3 linked regions of the Stegostoma tigrinum genome follow. The protein of the gene in region 2 purifies or fractionates together with the protein of the main gene of each other region. This does not show direct contact. Links are inferred from orthologs where the notes say so. Each region holds a gene or a part of one and is shown on either strand. Other genes may lie near its edges.

Region 1 (7,148 bases), on a different chromosome or scaffold from region 2:
GTATGCTCAGATAATGAAACTGTAGCACTCTAGCAGCACACAAGAGACCAACATATATACAAGTCAAAACAGGTACAAAGTCTAGGTCTCAGGAATGCCACACTGTCACCAAATCCAAGAAGGATTGTAAAATCACCCATAAGTTTTACATATTCTTAAAATCCCCTACAGTGCAGAAAGAGGCCTTTCAGCCCATCAATATGCACTGACCATCCAAAGAACCTCCCCCCACCCGATCCATGTAACTCTGCATTTACCATGGCTAATCCAACTAGCCTGCACATTCGTAGTCACTATCGGTTCACATGGGCAACCCACCTAACCTGAACATCTTTAGATGGTGGGAGGAAATTAGACCATCCAGAGGAAACCCATGTTGACACAAGGAGAATGAGCAAACGCCACGCAGACAGTCGCCAAATGCTGGAATCAAACCCAGGTCTCTGGTATTATAAGACAGCAGTGCTAACCACTGAGCCACCATGCTGCCCAGAATAGTAAACCTGCAAATCTTTCATTTCTTGTTTCTTTGTAAATAGCTTTGCAACTAATTTATTCATACTTTCATTATTAGTACGTATCTTCTTTCCTTGGAAAGAAAGGGAATACTGTGTTGCTGTTTTAACTGCTGGGTATGCTAAAAACCAAAGGACCATGATGACACCACATGATGAACAGCTGTGAGTCCAAGCAACAGCTTGGCAAAAGGCATCTGATTTGATGAGGCGCTGCGTTAAGATATGACATCCACCTTGTGTTAGGCAATGTCCATCTGAAGTTGAAGAAGCCACAACCACGTTATCATAACAGCCATTTGTAGCAAAGAAACTAAGGAAATGGATATGTCAGAAAGTATCCAGCTGACCTTCTTCAAAAGAACTGAAGCACCATTGAGGTCAGGCAAACTTGAGAAACAGTAGATAATCTTCAAAAGATGGACTAAAGAGAGTGTAGAACCATCATCAGGTGGCAGAGAGGAGCCAACAAAGAATGATGGATCTCTGACCCAAGCTGTAAGTTGCTTGATGAAAGAGCATTAGAGAAGAGCAAGAAAGACCTGGAAATACTATTTGAACAAAAACAAAAATTCAGCAAGAAGTACTGAAAACCAGATGAAGCATAAAACAGGTTCAACGCCGAGGAACAAAATCTCAAACATCAGCACTCTCAACACTGAGCCCCCAAGGATGTGTCCTCAGCCCCCTACCGTACTCTCTGTACACCTACGACTGTGTTGCCAAATTCCAAACAAACACCATCTACAAGTTCGCTGATGACACCACTGTAGTGGGATGGATATCTAAAACGACCAATCAAAATACAGAAGAGAGATAGAGGGTGACATGGTGCAATGAAAACAATCTGTCTCTCAACGTCAGCAAAACTAAAGAACGGATCATCATCTCAGAAAGAAAGGAGGAGATCACGGCTCCATCTACATCAACAGAACTGAGGTTGAGGGAGTGAACTGCATCAAGTTCCTCAGAGTGAGGACAACCGACCTCCCATCCTGGAATTCCACGTAAATGTAACAGTCAGGGAGGCACAACAATGCCTCTTCTTCCTCAGGCAGCTCAGGAAATTTGGCATGTCTATAGGGTCTGTCACCAACTTTTACAGATGCACCATTGAAAGCATTGTCTGGGTGCATAATGGCCTGGTACAGCAACTGCTCTGCACAGGAACTTAAGAAACTACAAAAGGTGGTGTGCATTGCCCAGACCATCATGGAAACCAACTTTCCATCCACGAACTCTATTTACATGACTTGCTGCTGTAGAAAGGCAGCCAACATCATCAAAGACCCATTGCATGCTGGTAATGACCTGCCACAACTTCGTCCAACAGGCAGAAGATATAGAAGCCTGAACGCACCCACAAGCAGATTCAGGAACAGAGATAGTAGGAACTGCATATGCTGGAGAATCTGAGATAACAAGGTGTAGAGCTGGATGAACACAGCAGGCCAAGCAGCATTGGAGGAGCAGTAAGGCTGCTAATGTGGTATACTGCAGCCGCTGTTCCCATTGTGGCCTCCTTTACATTGGCGAAATGAAGCGGAGCCTTGGGGACCGCTTTGCAGAACACCTATGCTCGATTTGCACTAAACAACTGCACCTCCCAGTCGTGAATCATTTCAATTCCCCATCCCATTCCTCAGACAACATGCCCATCCTGGGCCTCCTGCAATGCCACAATGATGCCACCCGAAGGTTGCAGGAACAGCAATTCATATTCCTCTTGGGAACCCTGCAGCCCAATGGTATCAATGTGGACTTCACAAGCTTCAAAATCTCCCCTTCCCCCACCGCATCGGAAAACCAACCCAGCTCGTCCCTGCATCTCTAACCTGTCCTTCCTCTCACCTATCCCCTCCTCCCACCTCAAGTCCCACCCCCGTCTCCTACCTACTAACCTCATCCCGCCCCCTTGACCTGTCTGTCCTCCCTGAACTGACGTATGTTCTCCCTTAACTGACCTATATCCTCCCTACCTCCCCACCTACACTCACCTTTACTGGCTCCATCCCTGCCTCTTTGACCTGTCTGTCTCCTCTCCACCTAGCTTCTCCTCTATCCATCTTCTATCCGCCTCTCCCTGTCTATCTGTTTATTTCAGAACCCCCTTCCCCTCCCCCATTTCTGAAGAAGGGTCTAGGCCCAAAACGTCAGCCTTCCTGCTCCTCTGATGCTGCTTGGCCTGCTGCGTTCATCCAGCTCTACACCTCGTTTTAGACAATAGACAATAGGTGCTGGAGTAGGCCATTTGGCCCTTTGAGCCATCACCACCAATCATTATATTCATGGCTGATCATCCACAATCAGTATCCTGTTCCTGCCTTATCCCCATAACCCTTGATTCCATTATCTTTAAGAGCACTATCTATCTCTTTCTTGAAAGTTTCCAGAGAGTTGGCCTCCACTGCCTTCTGGGGCAGAGCATTCCATATATCCACCACTCTCTGGGTGAAGAAGTTTTTCCTCAACTCTGTTCTAAATGGCCTACCCCTTATTTTTAAACTGTGTCCTTTGGTTCTGGACTCACTCATCAGCGAAAACATGCTTCCTGCCTCCAGAGTGTCCAATCCCTTAATAATCTTATACATCTCAATCAGATCCCCTCTCATCCTTCTAACCGCAAGTGTATACAAGCCCATTCGCTCCAATCTTTCAACATATGATAGTCCCACCATTCCAGGAATTGACCTCGTGAACCTACGCTGCACTCCCTCAATAGCCAGAATGCCCTTCCTCAAATTTGGAGACCAAAACTGCACACAATACTCCAGGTGCAGTCTCACCAGGGCCCTGTATAGCTGCAGAATGACCTCTTTGCTCCTATACTCAGATAGATCTCAGATTCAGGAATAGCTTTGTTTTTGGTCGTTATCGGACTGTTGAATGGACTCCAGCCTCAAAAATGTAATCTGCAATGTAACCTGTATGCCCGTTAGTCTTTTTGATCTGTTTTTCCTATACTTGCTGTGATCTGCTTGTACTGCTCATTAACAAAGCCTTTCATTGTATTTCAGTATATGTGACAATAAAAATCAAATCGTGATCAAAGTCAAAATCAGGAAGAACTGCAGGGGAGATAGAGTGATAGATGGATAGAGTTATGAGATGGGCATCCATTTTAGGATCAAAGAGGAATTTCTTCACTTAGATGATAGTAAATCTTTGGAAATATCTGCTCCAGGAAATTGTGGAATCTCAATCACTGAGTAAGCCTAAGACAGAGATAGATTTTTTCATTCTAATGCCATCAATGGGTGTTGAGATGATGTGGGAAAAATTGATGTAGATGCTTAGCCATGATATTGAGTGATGGTGGAGACTCCATCTGTTGTTTCTATTAACACCAGGTAAGAGACATCTTATAAGGGATAGGAAATCGTATATGTTACTGTGGGCTTAACAGCAGACTAACACTAAATTGACTAGTTCCCCTCTCACTGAAGTATTAGGTCACTGCTGGTAGGAGCCATTCTAATGTTTCTAAGTTAGCTGTTTCAAATCATTTCCCTTTGTTTACTGCAACCATACTGTCCTGGTGCTGCTTCTTTGGGACCATTCTCAGTGAGTGAGTGTGAGTGAATGAATGAATGAATGGGCGTGGACATTCACATGGAGCGGCTCGAGGTCACGTGACCCTCAGTAGACCGTGATGACGTCTAGGTCCTCATCATGTGACCCGCCGGGCAGCCGCGCTGAGGCAGGGCGACGGCGGACATTTTGTGAGGAGCCGGTAGAAACGGCGGGTAGGTGTGTTCGGGTCGGGTTGACAGTGGGCTCAGGCCACAGGTACCGGCTATCCTCCCGTAGCCTGAGGTGTAGAGGCCTCAGTGGCTGCAGACCTTAGAGTTGGCCGGGAAGGAAGCAAGGAGAAAAGAGGAAAGGGGGTGGCGGACATTTTGTGAGGAGCGGCCAGTCCCCACAACACCCACCCCGGGTTTCTTTTTGGGGGTACGGGGGCGGGGAGGAATAAGGATGGTGTTCGTGGGTGCGGTGGAGGAGGAATAACCCCCGACGGCAGTGTGCCGCTTGTGGGGATACCTGGCCTACAGATGCCCTGCACCCTTCCTGGAAGAGGATAGGGCAATGATGAAATATTATAACCCAACTCTCCCTGGTGTGGGTGTTGTACCACCTCAGTTCCAGGAGCGCAATTTGTTACGCTAATTAGCTCTCCTAATTCTGATTCCGAATTTCATGGCTGCATTCAGTACTGCAAGCAGCAATGTCAGAGAGGTGTCCTCCACTGGTAAACCACCACCCCCTCCACCCACCCCCTTGTCTGCTGCAATGGGTGCTCGGGTATCTGGCCATATTTCTCTGACTCCCCAAATCAATCACCTTTGAAAAGGAAAACCACGTTATCTGTTTGTACAGACCTTGCAATTGTGGGATCTGCCTGCCTCTTAAATTGGATTTTGAGTACCGTCCTTTAGATCCAAGTTGTCTGATCTACTCTAATAGCTTGACCTGAGAGGATTTATATTATGAGGCTATCAGCCCACCATATTTGCGTTGGCTTCGCTTCCTTGCTGTGGAAGTCTTATTTGTAGCTTGGTTGGTGAATTCAGTTTATAAATTAGTTTCTGGTTTGTAACAATGCCTTATGTAATTTTGTCTATTTGTGGCTTTGTCATTTGTGAATGATTTTACCTTGAGTGCTTTTTATTTGATTATTAGTTTAGAAATGCCAGAATTAGATTAATTCTGAAATAAGTTATGTAGTGTTATAATGTATGCTTTGTGGATATTTGATAGGCTAGTATTCTAGATCATATTGATCATTGTATTTATGTAAATGTAAAACTTTAGGTTTTCACTACCTACCTTTCCCTTTAGCCCATAAGTTTATTTTCTGTCTGGTCTTTAATAAGTTCTCTTTTAAATGCATGATTAAATATTCTTCTGCCATGTACTCAAGCAGTGCATTCTAAATCTGTTTTTTTTTGGATCTGGTCACTTTAAATCGGTGTCCTTGGGTTCTTCACACTTCTACCAATGGGAACAGTTTCTCCCTATTTGTTCTAAAACCTCTCAATTATCAAACTAACTTTGACTAAGCAGGTTGAAGTCTGCTTGGGGAACAAACTTGACCTCTGTAATTTACATCCTATCAAGCCCTATTAAGCAGAGAGAAGTGCATTCTATAAACTGAAATAAAGCTTACAGTTGAGATGTGGATTTTAATGTATTTATTAATTTAACAAAGTGAACAATGGTTTGGAACCCAAATTAATTTCAATATCTAGGCTGAATGTGATACATAAATGTCAGTACATTTTAAGCTATTTCCTGCCTATACTGTGTCACCGCAATGTCTTGGTGGTGGTTAACTCCATTAGCTGTTGACTTTTGGGGGGGGGGAGTGGAAAATACCTAATAATGTAACTTAGTTCACAGAATTGAATTTCACGTGAACTGGGTCGTGATGAGTGCAGACACTAGAAGCATGGTCATTCTCTTAATGCCTATCCATCTTGTGTTCATCCCACTTGAGATGCCACATTTTGTTGTATGTCCTATATTCTACGCAAAGAAAACCAATCGTTTCCTGTAGCCTGAAATTTAGCTTTTAAATTGAATAAATATATCAGTTGCATTGGGAGTGGACATACTTTATTCGAACATTGCCTTCTAAAGGAAATGCACCTGCTCAGAGCTGAGGTCCTGAACTAAGGTCTGAGCAATACCACAAGAGGCCCATTGTATCTTCCCCTCAAATGGCTGAATATGCTGACTGCTCGGTTTTCAGCTTTTGCAGAGTGCCTTTTTATTAGTTTAATTATGGATTTACATGTAATATGGATTATGTCAATTTGGGTTTTGAACTGTGTATTACCATCATGGAGTCCTTTTCAGGATGACATCAAATAAATTCAGATGCAGTACTGATGCAGTTGAACTGTACCTAAGATCATAGTTTTTTTCCTAATGCTTGTTATTGTCATGAACAGCGCTGCTCAATTTTGTTTTGATCTGGTTATAGAGTGCTAATGTTTTCAGTGTCAAGCAGGTACTGACATCCAAAGTTTAGGGAATAAATCCACATTCCATGGATTTGAATAAACAACACATTTTGTGACTGAAGGTTACAATATCCACAAGTGCCAGATTTCATTATGGAGGATTGCAGAAAAGCGTGATTTTAATGTATGCTGTATCAAGCCCAGTGTGATACTTAAGTCTGTTGACAAGCTGTTGGTCCAGTTAGAAACCATAGAAATGATAGAGCACAGAACAAGTCCGTTCAGCCCAACTTTTCATTCCAACCCAAATGCTGTTTTAAATCCCATCTTGCCTACATAGCTGTAGTTATGCAACTAACAGTACTTAAGATGTAGATGCAGAATACTTTTAGAAAGTGTTTAGAGTCTCTTTGTCACCTCCAACTTGGGCAGCAAACTTCAGACACCTACGACCTGCTGAGTTCTTAAAACATGGTTTTTCCTCCTTTGCATGCTAATTCTTCTGCCATTTATCTTAATCTTTGACTGCTGGTTTTTGAACTCTTCCAAAGGAAGTGAGTCTCTCCTGTCTACTCCATCTCTATCCCTCAATTTTGTATACCTTAATCATATCACTACTGAGCCTCCTTTGTTCCAAGGGAATCAACCCCAATCTCTCCATGCAGCT
Region 2 (7,171 bases):
CTCTGGGAATTCTGCTTTTGTTTTGGTTCGCTCAGTGGGGCTTGAGGAGATTGAGATCTTTTTTTTTCACAGCGAGACAGTTTGAGGGTGAATTAAGTTAATTAGACTCACTGCCTGTTTGTCCAATGTAGTGTTTGTCACAGTTCTTGCAAGGTATTTTGTAGGGGAGTGTGGTTATGGTTTCTGGGCCCGTTTTGTCTGTTTGTTTGGGTTTGTTGCTGAGAAATCGGTGGACTGTGTTCATAGGATACCCATTCTTTTTGAATACGCTGTACAGGTGATTTTCCTCTGCTCTGCGTAGTTCCTCGGTGCTGCAGTGTGTGGTGGCTCGTTGGAATAATGTTCTAATGCAGCTTCGTTTGTGGGTGTTGGGATGGTTGCTCCTGTAGTTCAGTATTTGGTCCGGATGTGTTGTTTTCCTGCAGACGCTGGTTTGAAGTTCCCCATTGGCTGTTCGCTCTACTGTGACATCTAGGAATGGCAGTTTCTTATTGTTTTCCTCCTCTTTTGTGAATGTTACGCCAGTAAGGGTGTTATCCTTTTTTCTGATGAAGGGTCTAGGCCCTAAACGTCAGCTTTGGTGCTCCTGAGATGCTGCTTGGCCTGCTGTGTTCATCCAGCTCCATACTTTGTTATCTTGGATCCTCCAGCATCTGCGGTTCCCATTATCTCTGGTTTGCGATTACAAACTGGTTCAACCGAACGGAGTGTTTCTGTTCTGCAGGACATGTAGCATTGCTGAGCAGCTGCAATTCTGTGACACATGTGGCAAAGTTTCTGACTGGTTACTAAAAATAGTGTGGGGTGTCACTGAACAGGACTTTAAAGGTGACAGGCAACGTGACTAGAAGACAGTGTGCGTGTGATAGTGAGACGGAAAGAGAGAGAGAGGCATGCTCCAGTTCAGGAAGGGCTACTGTAAGCTCTGCTGCAAAAGGAACTGAATCACCGAAGCTCAATGTTGCTGGGGCTCAGGGAAGTCTTTGTCACCCCCTCCAGCCCCCTACACCCCCTCCCTATCTCTGTGCCCCCCTCCAACCCCCTACACCCCCTCCCTATCTCTGTCACCCCCTCCAGCCACTTACACTCCCTCCCTATCTCTGTCACCTCCTCCAGCCTCTACAACACAACCCTCGCCCCCCCCCCCCACCAAACTCCTTATCCCCATGTCCCCCATGGCAAGTCCACACTAACCTGCATATTTTAGCACGGCCAACCCACCCTAACCCGCACATCCCTGGGCACTACGAGACAATTTAGCACGGCCAATCCACCCTAACCCGCACATCTCTGGGCACTACGGGACAATTTAGCACGGCCAATCCACCCTAACCCACACATCCCTGGGCACTATGGGACAATTCAGCACGGCCAATCCCACCCTAACCCGCACATCCCTGGGCACTACGGGACAATTTACCACGGCCAAGCCACCCTAACCCGCACATCCCTGGGCACTACGGGACAATTTAGCACGGCCAATCCACCCTAACCCGCACATCCCTGGGCACTACGGGACAATTTAACACGGCCAATCCCACCCTAACCTGCACATCTTTGGACTGTGGGAGGAAACCAGAGCACCCGGAGGAAACCCACACAGACACGGGGAAAATGTGCAAACTCCGCACAGTCAGGAGGGTGTGTTCGAACCCGGGTCCCTGTTGCCATGAGGCAGCAGTGCTAACCACTGAGGAGAAATTGAGCGGTTTAGTTGGATTCTCTCTGGTTTTGAGAGGAATGAAAGGAGGTCTAATTGAGGCGAAACAGACATGAAAGGAGGTTGATAAAGTAGATGTGGAGCAGATGTTTCTCCTTGTGGGGCAGCCTTGAATGAGAGGCCAAGGGTTTAGAATAAGTTTTAAAACAGAGATGAGGAGGACCGTCATCTGACGAAGGAAATCTGTGGGGCTCAGGTACGCAGAGAGCAGTGAATGCTGGAACGCTGAGTAAGTTGAAGGAGGAGATTAGCTTGTTTAACTCAATTTATTGGCAACAGGTTGCAGGGAGCGTGCAGGGCAGTGGTGTTAAGGCCAAGTTGAGATCAGCCATGATTGTGTTGAATGGCAGAACATCCATAAACGGGCTGAACGATCTGCTAGTTACTGTGTTCTAGTGTAAGTAGAGTCAGCTGAAACATTTCCCTGCTCAGTTCAGTTCCAAAAAAATTAATTGGATCACTTTCTGCGGAGGGACATTGGCAGCGCTAAAGGTGGGGTGCAGGGAGCTAGTATTGTCACGCCGGGACGAACGGCCTCGCCTTGTGCTGTGACCAAAGGACGGCCTTTCTGAGAAAAAGTAACTGGTCCAGTCTGCTTTCTCCTTGTATGTTCTTTCCACGTTCAAATTTCGATTGTCGGGAAAAACCCGTGTGGTTCACCAACACCCTTTAGGGAAGGAAACTGCTGTCCTTACCTGGTCTGGCCTACACTGTAGGGCTGGAAGAACACAGCAGGCCAAGCAGCATCTTAGGAGCCTTCCTAGACCCTTCTAGGCTCGAAACATCAGTTTTCCTGCTCCTGAGATGCTGCGCTACCTGCTGAGTTCTTCCAGACCCACAGCAATGTGGTTGACCCTGAAGTACCCAGCTGCTGACCATAATCATAGTCCTTGTGCCGTTTCCCCTGTTCCTGACCCCCTATCCCTTCCCTATTCATGTCCTTATTCAAATGTCTTTTTAAACATTGTACCAGTGTCTGCTTCCATCGCTTCCCCAGCCGTTCATTCCACACACGAACCGTTCTCTGTGTTTTAAACAAAAGGTTGCCCCTCGTGTCCATTTTAAATCTTGCCCCTCTCACCTTAAACCCATGTTCCTCTGCCTTTGGTAACAATGTGTAGGGCTGGAAGAACACAGCAGGTCGAGCAGCATCTTAGAAGCCTTCCTGGACCCTTCTAGGCCCGAAACGTCAGCTTTCCTGCTCCTGAGATGCTGCGCGGCCTGCTGAGTTCTTCCAGCCCCACACTTTGTTATCTCGGATTCTCCAGCATCTGCAGTCCCTGTTATCTCCTCTGCCTTTGGACTCCCCTACCCTCGGCGGGGAAAAGACCTTGGCTATTCACCTTATCTGTGCCCCTCACGATTTTATAAACCTCCAAAAGGCTTATAAGCTCAGCCTCCAGTGAAGAAAGGTCCCAACCTAACCAGGCTATTTTTATACCTCAGGCCTTCCATTCCTGGCAACATCCTGTTGTATCTTTTCTGAACCCTCTCCAGTTTAACAATATCCTTCCTATAACAGGGTGGGCAGCACTGGACGTTGAAACAAAAGCTCGGAATTTCGACACAGCCTGAGGGGCTCGGGAATGCAAATAGAGGAATTAGGAGCAGGATTAAACAGTCAGTCCATCTCCTCGAGCCCCACTGTGCCATTCACAATCGTTTTAGCTGATCTCGTTACTCCAGATTCTCGCCTCTTCCCCCGACAGCTTCCCTCACCCCCATCTCGCTTCAGAAGACTATATCTACCCCGGTCTTAAAAATATTCAAACTCTCGGCTCCCACCGTCATGGAGTTACAGAGTCATTGAAACTCAAAACCTGGTGATGAGCCACTCCCTGTTTGAAGAGAGCGGCCCTGACTTTGAATCGGTGATTCCCCCCTTGTTCTGGATTCCTCCCCAAGAGGAAACATCCTGTCCACAAGCCCTCCCTGTCAAGGCCCCTCGGGATCTTAACGTTCACTCAAGACTGGCAGTGTTTGATGGAGGAAGGGGGGGAAACGGTGTAGAGGGAGCTTTACTCTGTATTTGACCCTGTGCTGGCCCTGATCTGGCAGTGTTGAATGAGGGGGTACAGTGTAGAGGGAGCTTTACTCTGTATCTAACCCCATGCTGTCCCTGGGAGTGTTTGATGGCGAGGGGGAAACAGTGTAGAGGGAGCTTTACTCTGTATCTAACCCCAAGCTGTCCCTGTCCCTGGGAGTGTCTGATGTGGGGGAAACAGTGTAGATGAGGCTTTACTCTGTATCTGACCCTGCGCCGTCCCTGTCCCTGGGAATGTTTGAGGGGGTGGGGGGTGGGTGGACTGTGTCGCTGGGGGGAGGGGGCGGTGAACCTTGCTGTGCATGGTGTTGCGATGGAATGTAAAGAATAGAGGGAAAATAGGCCAGGCCGGAGAACTTTCTGGAGGAGGCTGTGATGGTGAATTCCGAGGAACCAGGAGACCATCAACTGTTGTGCATGAATCAGCGAGTCTATTCTCATTGAGTTAATGTCCCCAAAGGCTATTAGCTGAACACTGCTGAAATAACGCATGACCACACATGCACACACTCTCTCTCTCTGCTCCTAAAAGCCCACTCAAGCTGCCTTCGCTCCTTCATTCATAAAACTTGCAGAAGCTGTCTGAGTAGCTTCTTGTCATTTTTTTCTGTCTCCTCCACCCACCTCTCTCTCTCTCTCTCTCTCTCTCTCTCTGTGCTGCTGAGTTCCCCTCCCATTCGAAGCCTGTAGCAGCTTCTGTCCAGGAGTCATGAGAACCCGGGCTGTAGCTCTCTGGCCTCTTTCGCCCTGCTGCTGATGGAGATGTCTCCTCATGGATTGACAGAGCCCACGAAACTCCGAGGCAACAGACAGTCCAGGAGTCAGCCCTGCCCTGTCCCTGTGGCTGTCAGGCCCTTGCATGGTTGTACACCGCTGTTGCCTGTCATCTCTTGTGTGTGTGTGTGTGTGTGTGTGTTGTCGGACCATGAACCCTGTTTCGATCAGTGCAGAGGGTCTGCATTCTGGACTGTACAAGTCTCCTCGAGAATTCAGCAGAAGTTTTTGCTTTTAATCTGAGCCAGAGGGACCGATCAGTTCACCTGACTCGGGAGGGGAGGGGGGAGGTGTGCAGCGAGCGACAGATTTTAAACATATTGCAAGAAATATTCCTTTCCCCGACACCCACCATTGCCCCAACCACATGCGAAAGCAAGCGTACTCCAGCCCTCGCAGGCCGTCGTGTGTTTGAGCCGTTTGCGAGCTGGCTGGTTCTATTCGTAGGGGAGTTAACAGCAGATCCGAAAGGGGGCTGGGTTCAGACCCAGGAGGAGGCCGGAGCATGAGAGAAGGTTTGCCCTCCCTGGGTGAGTACAGCCATGGATTTACTGCATAGGAATAAATACAGTCACTTACACAACGACAGCGCGTCTGAGGCCGTCCATGGGGAGGCGCTGGTCCCTCCTTCCTCCTCCTCCTCCTCCCTGGCTCCTATACTGCCCCATGATGGGGGGGAGCTGTCCTCAGGGGCGGAGGACAGCCCCACCACCCTGTGCTCCTTCTTCCCGAGGATGGGTAACCTGAAACTCGCGAACCCGGCGAGCCTGCTGCAGTCGAAGGGGTTCCCCGGGGAAGCGACGACGGTGCCAGCCCCGGGCAGCGTGAGGCCTGGTGACTCAGGAGCTGTGCCCATCTTCTCTCCCTCTCGGCAGGACATGAACAGGCTGGGCTGCGGAGGAGGAGGAGGTGGAGGAGGAGGTAAGAAGACACGGGTGGAGGGCGGCCAGCTGGGAGGAGATGAGTGGACCCGGCACGGTAGCTTTGTGAACAAACCCAGCCGTGGCTGGCTTCACCCAGACGACAAGGTGATGGGGCCTGGCGTCTCCTACCTCATACGGGTGAGTGCCTCTGAGACTCTTCTGTGTAATACCATTCCCTCCCTCCCTCCCCAAACCCTCTGCAGCGTCTCAACTGCCCCCCTCCAGCTTCTCCTACATTGCCTGCTGTACTTCAGTTGCCCCTGCACCCCCTCCCACGTAACACCCCACTGCCTCCTCGTCTGCACCCCCTTCCCGATTTCCCCCCACTGCCTCCTCGTCTGCACCCCCTCCCACTTACACCGCACTGCCTCGTCGTCGGCACCCCCTCCCGATTTCCCCCGACTGCCTCCTCGTCTGTACACCCTCTCAATTGCCCCCCATTGACCTCCCGTCTGCACCCTCTCTCAATTACCCCCCACTGCCCCCGCGGCTGCACTCTCTCTCAATTACACACCCGCCCCCTCGGCTGCACCCTCTCTCAACTACCCCCCACTGCCCCTTCGGCTGCACTCTCTCTCAATTACACACCCGCCCCCCTCGGCTGCACCCTCTCTCAATTACCCCGCTGCCCCCTCGGCTGCAACCCCTCTCAATTGTCCCCCACTGACCTCCCGTCTGCACCCTCTCTCAATTAACCCCCACTGACCCCTTGGCTGCACCCCCTCTCAATTACCCCCCGCTGCCCCCTCGGCTGCAACCCCTCTCAATTGTCCCCCACTGACCTCCCGTCTGCACCCTCTCTCAATTAACCCCCACTGACCCCTCGGCTGCACCCCCTCTCAATTACCCCCCACTGCCCCCTCGGCTGCACCCCCTCTCAATTACCCCCCACTGCCCCCTCGGCTGCACCCTCTCTCAATTTCCCTCCACTGACCCCTTGTCTGCATCCTCTCTCACTTGCCCCCACAGCTTCCTCTTCTGCACCCTTTCTCAAAAGCCCCCCCACTGCCGTCTTGGCTGCACCCTCTCTCAATTGCCCCCCAACTGCCCCCTTGGCTGCACCCTTTCTGCTGGTTCTCCCTTCTTAGCTACACCCTGTTAATGCCTCCCTCCCCCACCGTCTCTCATTTCTTCCCTGCTCCCTTTCAGTCCCAACCCCCGGACCGTAAATGTTTCTCTCCACCCCAGTCATTTCCCCTGCACTAAACTCTGGCCAGTCTGTGGCAACTCACTCTCTGCCTAAATAAGCATGAGCTCTGAACAAACATTCCTGCTGACTGCAGTGCACTGTTTCACAGAACAGTTAGCATCCTGTCTCCTGTTCACACTCTGGATGTGAGCGTCTGCCTTGCCCTCTGTCTCCATGTCGATAATTTCTCTCTCTCTCTGACTCTGTCTGTCTCTCTCTCTCTCACTCTGTCTGTCACTCTCTCTCTCATTCTGTCTGTCTCTCTCTCACTCTGATCTGTTGTCTCAGCCTGTTTGTCTTCTTCTATCTCTTGCTGCCTCTCTCTCTCTTTCTCTCACTAGCTTTCTTTCCTCGCTGTCTGTCTCCCCTGCAGTCGCTCCCCTGTCGCTCTCTCACTCTCTGTCTCCCCTGCAGTCAGTCGCTGTCTCACTCTCTGTCTCCCCTGCAGTCTGTCGCTGTCTCGCTGCCTGTCTCCCCTGCAGTCTGTCGCTGTCTGTCTCCTCTGCAGACTGTCGCTGTCA
Region 3 (7,786 bases), on a different chromosome or scaffold from region 2:
GCTTTGCAGAACACCTCCGCTCAGTTCGCAACAAACAACTGCACCTCCCAGTTGCAAACCATTTCCACTCCCCCTCCCATTCTCTAGATGACATGTCCATCATGGGCCTCCTGCACTGCCACAATGATGCCACCCAAAGGTTGCAGGAACAGCAACTCATTTCGCCTGGGAACCCTGCAGCCATATGGTATCAATGTGGACTTCACCAGTTTCAAAATCTCCCCTTCCCCTACTGCATCCCTAAACCAGCCTAGTTCGTCCCCTCCCCCCACTGCACCACACAACCAGCCCAGCTCTTCCGCCCCCCCACCCACTGCATCCCAAAACCAGTCCAACCTGTCTCTGCCTCCCTAACCGGTTCTTCCTCTCACCCATCCCTTCCTCCCACCCCAAGCCGCACCCCCATCTACCTACTAACCTCATCCCACCTCCTTGACCTGTCCGTCTTCCCTGGACTGACCTATCCCCTCCCTACCTCCCCACCTATCTTCTTTACTCTCCATCTTCGGTCCGCCTCCCCCTCTCTCCCTATTTATTCCAGTTCCCTCTCCCCATCCCCCTCTCTGATGAAGGGTCTAGGCCCGAAACGTCAGCTTTTGTGCTCCTGAGATGCTGCTTGGCCTGCTGTGTTCATCCAGCCTCACATTTTATTATCTTGGAATTCTCCAGCAACTGCAGTTCCCATTATCTCTGATCTCTATAAAACTAGTGCTCTCTGGTTACAGATCTTTCTGACATTGGAGACAGTAACGACTGCAAGTGCTGGAAGCTAGAATCAATAAATGTGGAGCTGGAAAAGCACAGTCAGACAGCATCCAAGGAGCAGGAAAGTCAACATTTTGGACCGAAGCCCTTCATCAAACCCATCCTAATGGAGGGTCTCTGCCCGAAACGTTGACTTTCCTACTCCTGGGATGCTGTCTGACTGGCTGTGCTTTTCCAGCTCCACATTTTCTGACAAGGAAACTGTTTCATCCTTATCTATTCAATCCAAATCATTTGGGATTGTAAGCACACAAATCACAAGGAAAACAATCCAGTTTTCCTCACATCATCATCCCTAGTATCATTCCAGTTAAGGCAACATTTTGATTTTAAAATTCGGATCTGTGTGTTCAGCCCAAAGCAGCACTGCCTTCTAAATTCTAAAAACTTCCCGAGTTCAACAAACCTGAGATTCACAATCTTGGCATTTCCCTTGTTCCTGATTTTAATTGGTCCACTACTGGTGGTTGTGCCTTCAACAGTTGAGGCCTGTGTGTTTTGGATATCCACCCTGCTAAATTTGCTCCTATTTAAATTCACCTCCAACAAAAATTGTCATCTGTTCTAATATCATCTCATAACCCATTGTCAAATCAGGTCTAACAATTGCGTGCCTTGGAATGTTTTATAAGCAAAGGCACCAGATTCCCCATATCCCTCACTTTCTTTTTTTAAAAAAAGGACAATCTCAGCTTTTCAACACTGCGCTCAATATTGATACAGTATCCCTAACAGCCCAAGTTGTTTCACGAGTGTTATCAAATAAAAAAGCTTAACACTAATCAAAATCAGATTTTCAAGCAGAATAAAAGCAAAATGTGAGGCTAGAAATCTGAAAAAAAAAACAAAGCGCTAGAAAAATTCAACAAGCCCAGCAGCATCTGGCGTTAACGTTTCACGTCCAATAGGACTTCTCTTTAAAACCAGGGCAGAACGCTGAAAGTTCTTAATCTTACATTACTTATCATCGACTTTTTCACCGTCTTCGGATATTTGCCTTCCTTCCCCAAGTATAGCGACCAGCAATACTCGAATACCCAGACTGACAGAGCACTGCTGAAAAGGGGGAGGAAACGGAATGGACCACAAGGCACCTACCTCCAGAGCCAGGGCCGTCTTATCATAGGCATTGGGGACACGCTTCTGGAAGGCCCGGGCATACACCGGCCCGTTCTGGAGGTTGGGCAGCGAGGCACTGACACTAGGCTGGGCATAGGGCCCGAACTCAGGCTGCCCAACTCCGCCAACCCCCGGCGAGGGCTGGTGCTGGGCCGCTAACGCCTGGCCGCCCTCCGGGCTGTTAGCCGGGCCGAGCAGCGAGCTGGGCCGGCATTTCTCCACGTAAGGCACGGGGATCATGCCGCAGCGGCCTTCGCTGTTCTGCGCGTTCCACCACTGATCCTCGGGCTTGTCCAGGATGCGGAGCACGTCGCCCTTGCGGAACGGCAGGTCCTCCTCGTCGTTGCCGGGGAAGTCGAAGAGGGCGCGGACAAAGTGGGCCTCCTCAGACGGGACGCTGTTGGTGGGGATGTAGGCGGCGTTGGGCCTGTGGACAGGCTCCAGCAGGGTGGTGGTGTCCAGGTAATGGATCTTGTAGAACTCCAGCAGGCCGTGCAAATTCTCGAACTCCTGGTCGCCAATGCGGTAGCGCCCGGGCCCGGGGCCTGGGCCTTGCTGCTGCCGGCTGTTGATGATATAATGCGACACCTTCGAGTTCTCGCTGACACTCAGCACGTAGTCCCCTGGGATGGTGCGACTGTCCCTCACCAGGAAAGTGCCGTGCTTTTGGCCCATCAGCAGAGACACGGCTTGGTCCCGCCTCATGGGACCGAAGTACCAACTCTCTTGCTTCTGGGCGTCGAAATTAGCCGCCATGTCCCTCAGTGTGCTCTACCCGGGCCGGGCTACTCTCAGCTCCGCTCTGCCTGCCCAGCGGTGCCGGCAGCGGCCTACTCGCCGCCTAGGCCTCAGGCCTCCCTTCACAACACACTAAACTAAAGAAAATATAAAGTCCCCGGGCGGCAAACAGACGCGTGTTTACTTCATAAAATCCGTCCCCCCGCGTCAGTTCTCAGATCGGCCGCCTCTTGTTTGTGAAACTTATATTTTTTTTCCCCTCTCACTGTAAATCTGTTGGAAAATAGCGCGCGAGAACAGCGGAATCGTTAACTGCGCCCGACCCTTTTAGCCGATTTCTATCCGCCGACTTTTGATTAGGGCGTTTGTTCTCTAAAAGGGACCGCCCCACTGCGCACGCGCACTCCCTGGAGTGAGGTCGGGTGGAGAGAGAGAGAGGGCGAGCGCTGACCCCACCACTCGGAAGGGCAGCTCGTGGCGATGGGAATAGCCGTCTGCCATCTTGGTGAGGTCGTGTTGGACTCCCTTCTTGTGCTAGAGGGTCCAGCAATATCCAATTGCACCGACATGGCGCCTGCAACCCAGTCAACCAGGGGTGGTCCCGGGGCTGCAGATCATCAAACAAAATTGAAACAAAGAACTGCGGACGCTGAAATCCGAAACAAACAAAAACAAGAAATTGCTGGAGAAACTATGTAGGTCTGCCAGCGTCTGTGAAAAGAACACAAAGTCAATGTTTCGAGTCCAGTGAGCTTTCTTCAATATCATACGAAAATTTTATATTGAAACACCTGAACATGATTCAAGGGAGGATTACCAAACAAAGATTTTGGTACTGAAGCACTGAAAGACATTAGTTTGATACTCAGGTAGGGCCGTAGGGCCTGAGGACTGAGGGGTGGTGGAGAAGTTTAGGGCACTGATTCATAGAATCACACAGTATCGATGAGGTGCTTTGGTCCATTGAGTCTGTACTGTCAAAATATGCTAGTACCTATACTAGTCCCGTAATCAAGCAGTAGGCCCACAGCCTTCTATGTTATGACACTTCAGTTGTTCATTAAACTACTTTTTTAAAGGTTGTGAGCCTTTTGGCTTTTCACTTTAAAATTATGGTGCCTTGTTCTTAATTCCACTTGATACTTTCTCTCTGTCCACCCTCTCCATATCCTTCATGGTCTTATACACCCAGATACAGACTCGTCAACTTTCACTACTCCAAATAAAATAGCCTGAACTTATCCAGCCTTCCTTCATAGCTGAAGTGCTCTATCCAAGGCATCATCCTGGTGAATATCCCTAGGTTAATTACATAGCATTCACATCAAAATTAATGAAATAGTTTGTTTCTTTTTGTGAATGTATCGATAGGGCGGTCATGCGAATATGTAGATATGTTGGACTAAGGCAAATCCACATTATGCAGCCTGGACAGAGCTGATAGCAAAGCTACCAGGTGGATCAATTAAAATTAGGATGTTCAAGCAACAGAATTGAGGACCCAGGAGAGATGGAGGGACAATACCATGGAGGAATTCAGAAATAATAATGATTTGTTTTTAGACCATATATTAGGCCATACGGCCCATCAAGGTTGTTCTACCAAGTAATCATGGCTGATATGCTCCTCAACCCCATTCTCCTGGTTTCTCCCCGTAACCCTTGATCCCTTACCAATCAAGAATTTATCTATCTTTGTCTTAGATATGCTCGATGACTTGGCCTCCACATCCCTGTGTGGCAATGATTGCTGCAGATTAACAACCATTTGACTGAAGAGTTCCATCTCATCTCAGCTCTAGATGCCCCTACATGCTGAGACTGTGTCCTGGGTTCCTAATGTCTCCTAAAAGTGGAAGCATGTTTTTCGCAATTACTGTATCCAGGCCTCATTACCAATCAGATCCCCCCTCGATTTTCTAAATTCAATCAAGTACAGGCCCAGAGTCCTCAACCACTCCTCATTATGACAAGCCCTTCATTATTGGGATCATTATTGTAAACCTTTTTTGTACCACCTCCAACATCAGCACATCCTCCTTTAGATACGAGGAAGGAAACTGCCCACAATATTCCAAATGCAGTCTGGCCTGAACCCGATACAGCCTCGGCAGTACATCTCTTGCTCTTGTATTCTAGCCCTCTGGAAATGAATGTTCACATTGCATTTGCCCTCCCCACTGCCAAGTGAACCCACATATTAACTCTTAAAGAGAATCCTGAACGAGGACTTCCAAGTCTTTCTGTCTCAGATTTCCAAAAGCCTTTCCATATTTAGGAAATAGTCAATGCCTCTATTCTTCCTTCCAAAGTGCACAATTACATTTTCCCACATTGTATTCCATCTGCCAATTCTTTCAACACTAGCTTATCCAAGTACTTTTGCATCCTCCCTGATTCCTCAGCACTACCTATCCTTCCACCCATCTTTGTGTCATCTGCAAATATAACAACAATGCCCTCAGCTCCTTTGTTCAGATGATTAACATATGATGTGATTCTGTGATCTCAACATGAAACCATGCAGAACTCCAGTAGTCACCAGCTTCCATCCTGGAAAAGACCCCTTTATCCCTTGCCTCTGCCTTCTGTAAGTCAGACAATCCGCTGCCCCTTCAGCCTCACTAGTCCTTACCAACCGTGTTTCCGAAACTGAACTAGTTCCATTTGTCTATATAAATAAAAACCAAAAGAACTGCAGATGCTGTAAATCAGGAACAAAACCAGAAGTTGCAGGAAAAGCTCAGCAGGTCTGGCAGCATCTGCGAAGAGAAAATCAGAGTTAATGTTTTTGGTCCCATGACACTTCCTTAGAACTGAGTTCTAAGAAAGGGTCACAAGACCTGAAACATTATCTCTGATTTCTCTTCACAGATGCTGCCAGACCTGCTGAGCTTTTCCTGCAACTTCTGGTTTTGTTCCCGTTTGTCTGTGTTTGGCCACATTGCCCTCTAAACCTCCCCTATTCATGTACCTGTCCAAAGGTCTTTTTAAAAATGTTGTAACTGTACTTGCCTCTACCACTCCCTCTAGCAGCTCATTCTATATATGTACCACCCTCTGTGTGAAAAAGCTGCCCCTCAAGGTCCCTTCTGCGTCTTTCCCCTCTCACCTTAAACTTCTGCCCTCTGGTTTTGGACTCCCAAACCTTGGGGAAAAGACTTGGCCTATTTACCTTATCAATGACTCTCATGATATTATAAACCTCTATAAGTCATCTATCAGCCTTCTACACTCCATTGAAAATAGCCCCAGCCTATTCAGCCTCTCCCTATAGATCAAACCCTCCAGACTTGGTAATATCCTTGTAAATCTATTTTACACCTCTCAAGTTTAATAATATTCTTCCTATAGCAGGATGACGAGAATTATGCAGAGTGCTATTGTTATGAAGGAGTGGTCAAACCCCTCTGATAATTAAAACCAAAACCTCAGAGAAGCTTGCCTCACTTCATAATCTGTTAAACGAAATGCGAAAATTAGTATAACCTGCCTCTCACCTCCCAATCTGTCATAAAGGAGAGGTGAAAGTAAGATGAACTTCCGACATTCACTCACAATCAACAAGTAACAATTTATCTAACTCCAACAGTTAACAAATTAACAGAACTACTAACAAATTGAACAATTCACCCCTTAACTACAAACTATTCCCAAATAAGACAAAATTCTAATGGTAAGCTGCTCTAATTGATACATGTCCCACTTAGAAACCAAATTAATAAAAACAATTAAAGCTTAATCTCTCAAATTTACAGCCAGGATACACCTTCCAGATGCTCCACACCCTCTGAACTGATTCTCCACCAGGAATGCCTTTCGCTGTCAAATTCTGGTAAAATGCTACTGTACCTTTAATTAGATGATGGGTTTTTTTTCTGAGAGCTGATAGAATTCCATGAGAGCCAGTGTTTCTCTTTAGAGCTTATGGGTTGTTATTTCTCTTAGATGGCAGTTGCTCTTACCCTGATTTTCAAATACCCTCTTCTTTTATACTTCTGATGACCTGTTAATTTCTTATAATAAAATTGGTCCAAGGTTGTCAAAACCATTAGATTGGGGCCTAGTTTAAATTAATTGGATAAATTTCAAAGCCTGTTGATTAGTAAAAGATGCTGCTTTTCCTGCAGATATACCCACAATATACCCCCTCAATACAAATGTTTCCCTTCAGGAACTCTCTGTGCAGCTGTGCTGCTTGCAGACTTTTAAAATCTCCAAGCCTAGGAAAAACACACATCTATTTTTAAAGGAATATGCACTTTTCCCTCTTATCAATTTACAAACTTAAAAAAATCTAACATCCTGCCTTTTAATCCATCAATAGTATGCCCAATTTTGCAACACATCCCCCTCAGAAAAAAATGAACAATCATAATGAAAAATGGCTTCATTCTTTCTTCTTTTTTATCTAAACCTTAACACCACTATTACTCTATCCATAGCTCATTAATCCTGTGTTACACTTTTCATACTAATTCTGTATACATACATAACATTGAACACTAACGTTTCTATCTTATACACATTTTTCTTTTAAACCCAAAATAACGCTTCCGCAGTAACATTTTCACGACCTGTAACTTGTACAATATGTAAATTAAATGCTTGTATCATAAGGCTAAACAAAATAGGCTAGTGTTCTGGCCCTTAAATCTCACCAAAAATGTCAAATTGTTGTGGTCAGAGTACACGACTGTCTCCAAGACATTGTTTGCAATGTAAACATGAAAATGTTGTAATGCCAATAACTATTTTTAAATGGCTAAGTATTTTCTCTGGTGGATATTGAGTTTCTTTGAACAATAACTGATTGGCCTTTCAATTCCACAATCATCCTCCTGGAACAACACATCTCCGACGCTTACATTGTTTGTGTTGATGGTGACTTTAAAGGCTTTGAAGAAATTTGGTGCGGCTAAAACTAGTGTGGTAGCTAACGTAGCTTTTAAATTCTCAAATGCCTCCTGTCCTTGTTCTGTCCACCGAAATTTCATCTTCTCCTTTAACAAACTCCTCAGCGGTACCACCATGCTACTGAAATTTGGTGGAGATTTCCTGTAGAATCCGCTCAGTTCCGAAAGCGTAGCATTTCCTTCTTCGAGGATGGTCTTGGATATTCCTCATTGGCCTTCGTCTTCACATTTCTTGGTGTCATCCATCC

What was found.
Region 1: the proteins of shc1 (region 2) and AP-2 complex subunit mu purify together in Homo sapiens (affinity purification with mass spectrometry; 3 studies listed by BioGRID and IntAct, with this or other methods). This does not show direct contact. The link is inferred for Stegostoma tigrinum from reciprocal best matches to the Homo sapiens genes SHC1 and AP2M1.
Region 3: the proteins of shc1 (region 2) and crk purify together in Homo sapiens (affinity purification with western blotting; 3 studies listed by BioGRID and IntAct, with this or other methods). This does not show direct contact. The link is inferred for Stegostoma tigrinum from reciprocal best matches to the Homo sapiens genes SHC1 and CRK.

The regions. Positions count from the first base shown.
Region 1 is NC_081367.1:59,678,221-59,685,368, forward strand, and holds the start of AP-2 complex subunit mu, read left to right. Parts: upstream 1-4,148; 5' UTR 4,149-4,261; intron 4,262-7,148.
Region 2 is NC_081400.1:5,339,102-5,346,272, forward strand, and holds the start of shc1 (SHC-transforming protein 1), read left to right. Parts: upstream 1-4,171; 5' UTR 4,172-5,080; coding exon 5,081-5,599; intron 5,600-7,171. UniProt on the Homo sapiens protein: Signaling adapter that couples activated growth factor receptors to signaling pathways. Participates in a signaling cascade initiated by activated KIT and KITLG/SCF.
Region 3 is NC_081380.1:46,981,515-46,989,300, forward strand, and holds the start of crk (adapter molecule crk), read right to left. Parts: upstream 3,001-7,786; 5' UTR 2,641-3,000; coding exon 1,864-2,640; intron 1-1,863. UniProt on the Homo sapiens protein: Involved in cell branching and adhesion mediated by BCAR1-CRK-RAPGEF1 signaling and activation of RAP1.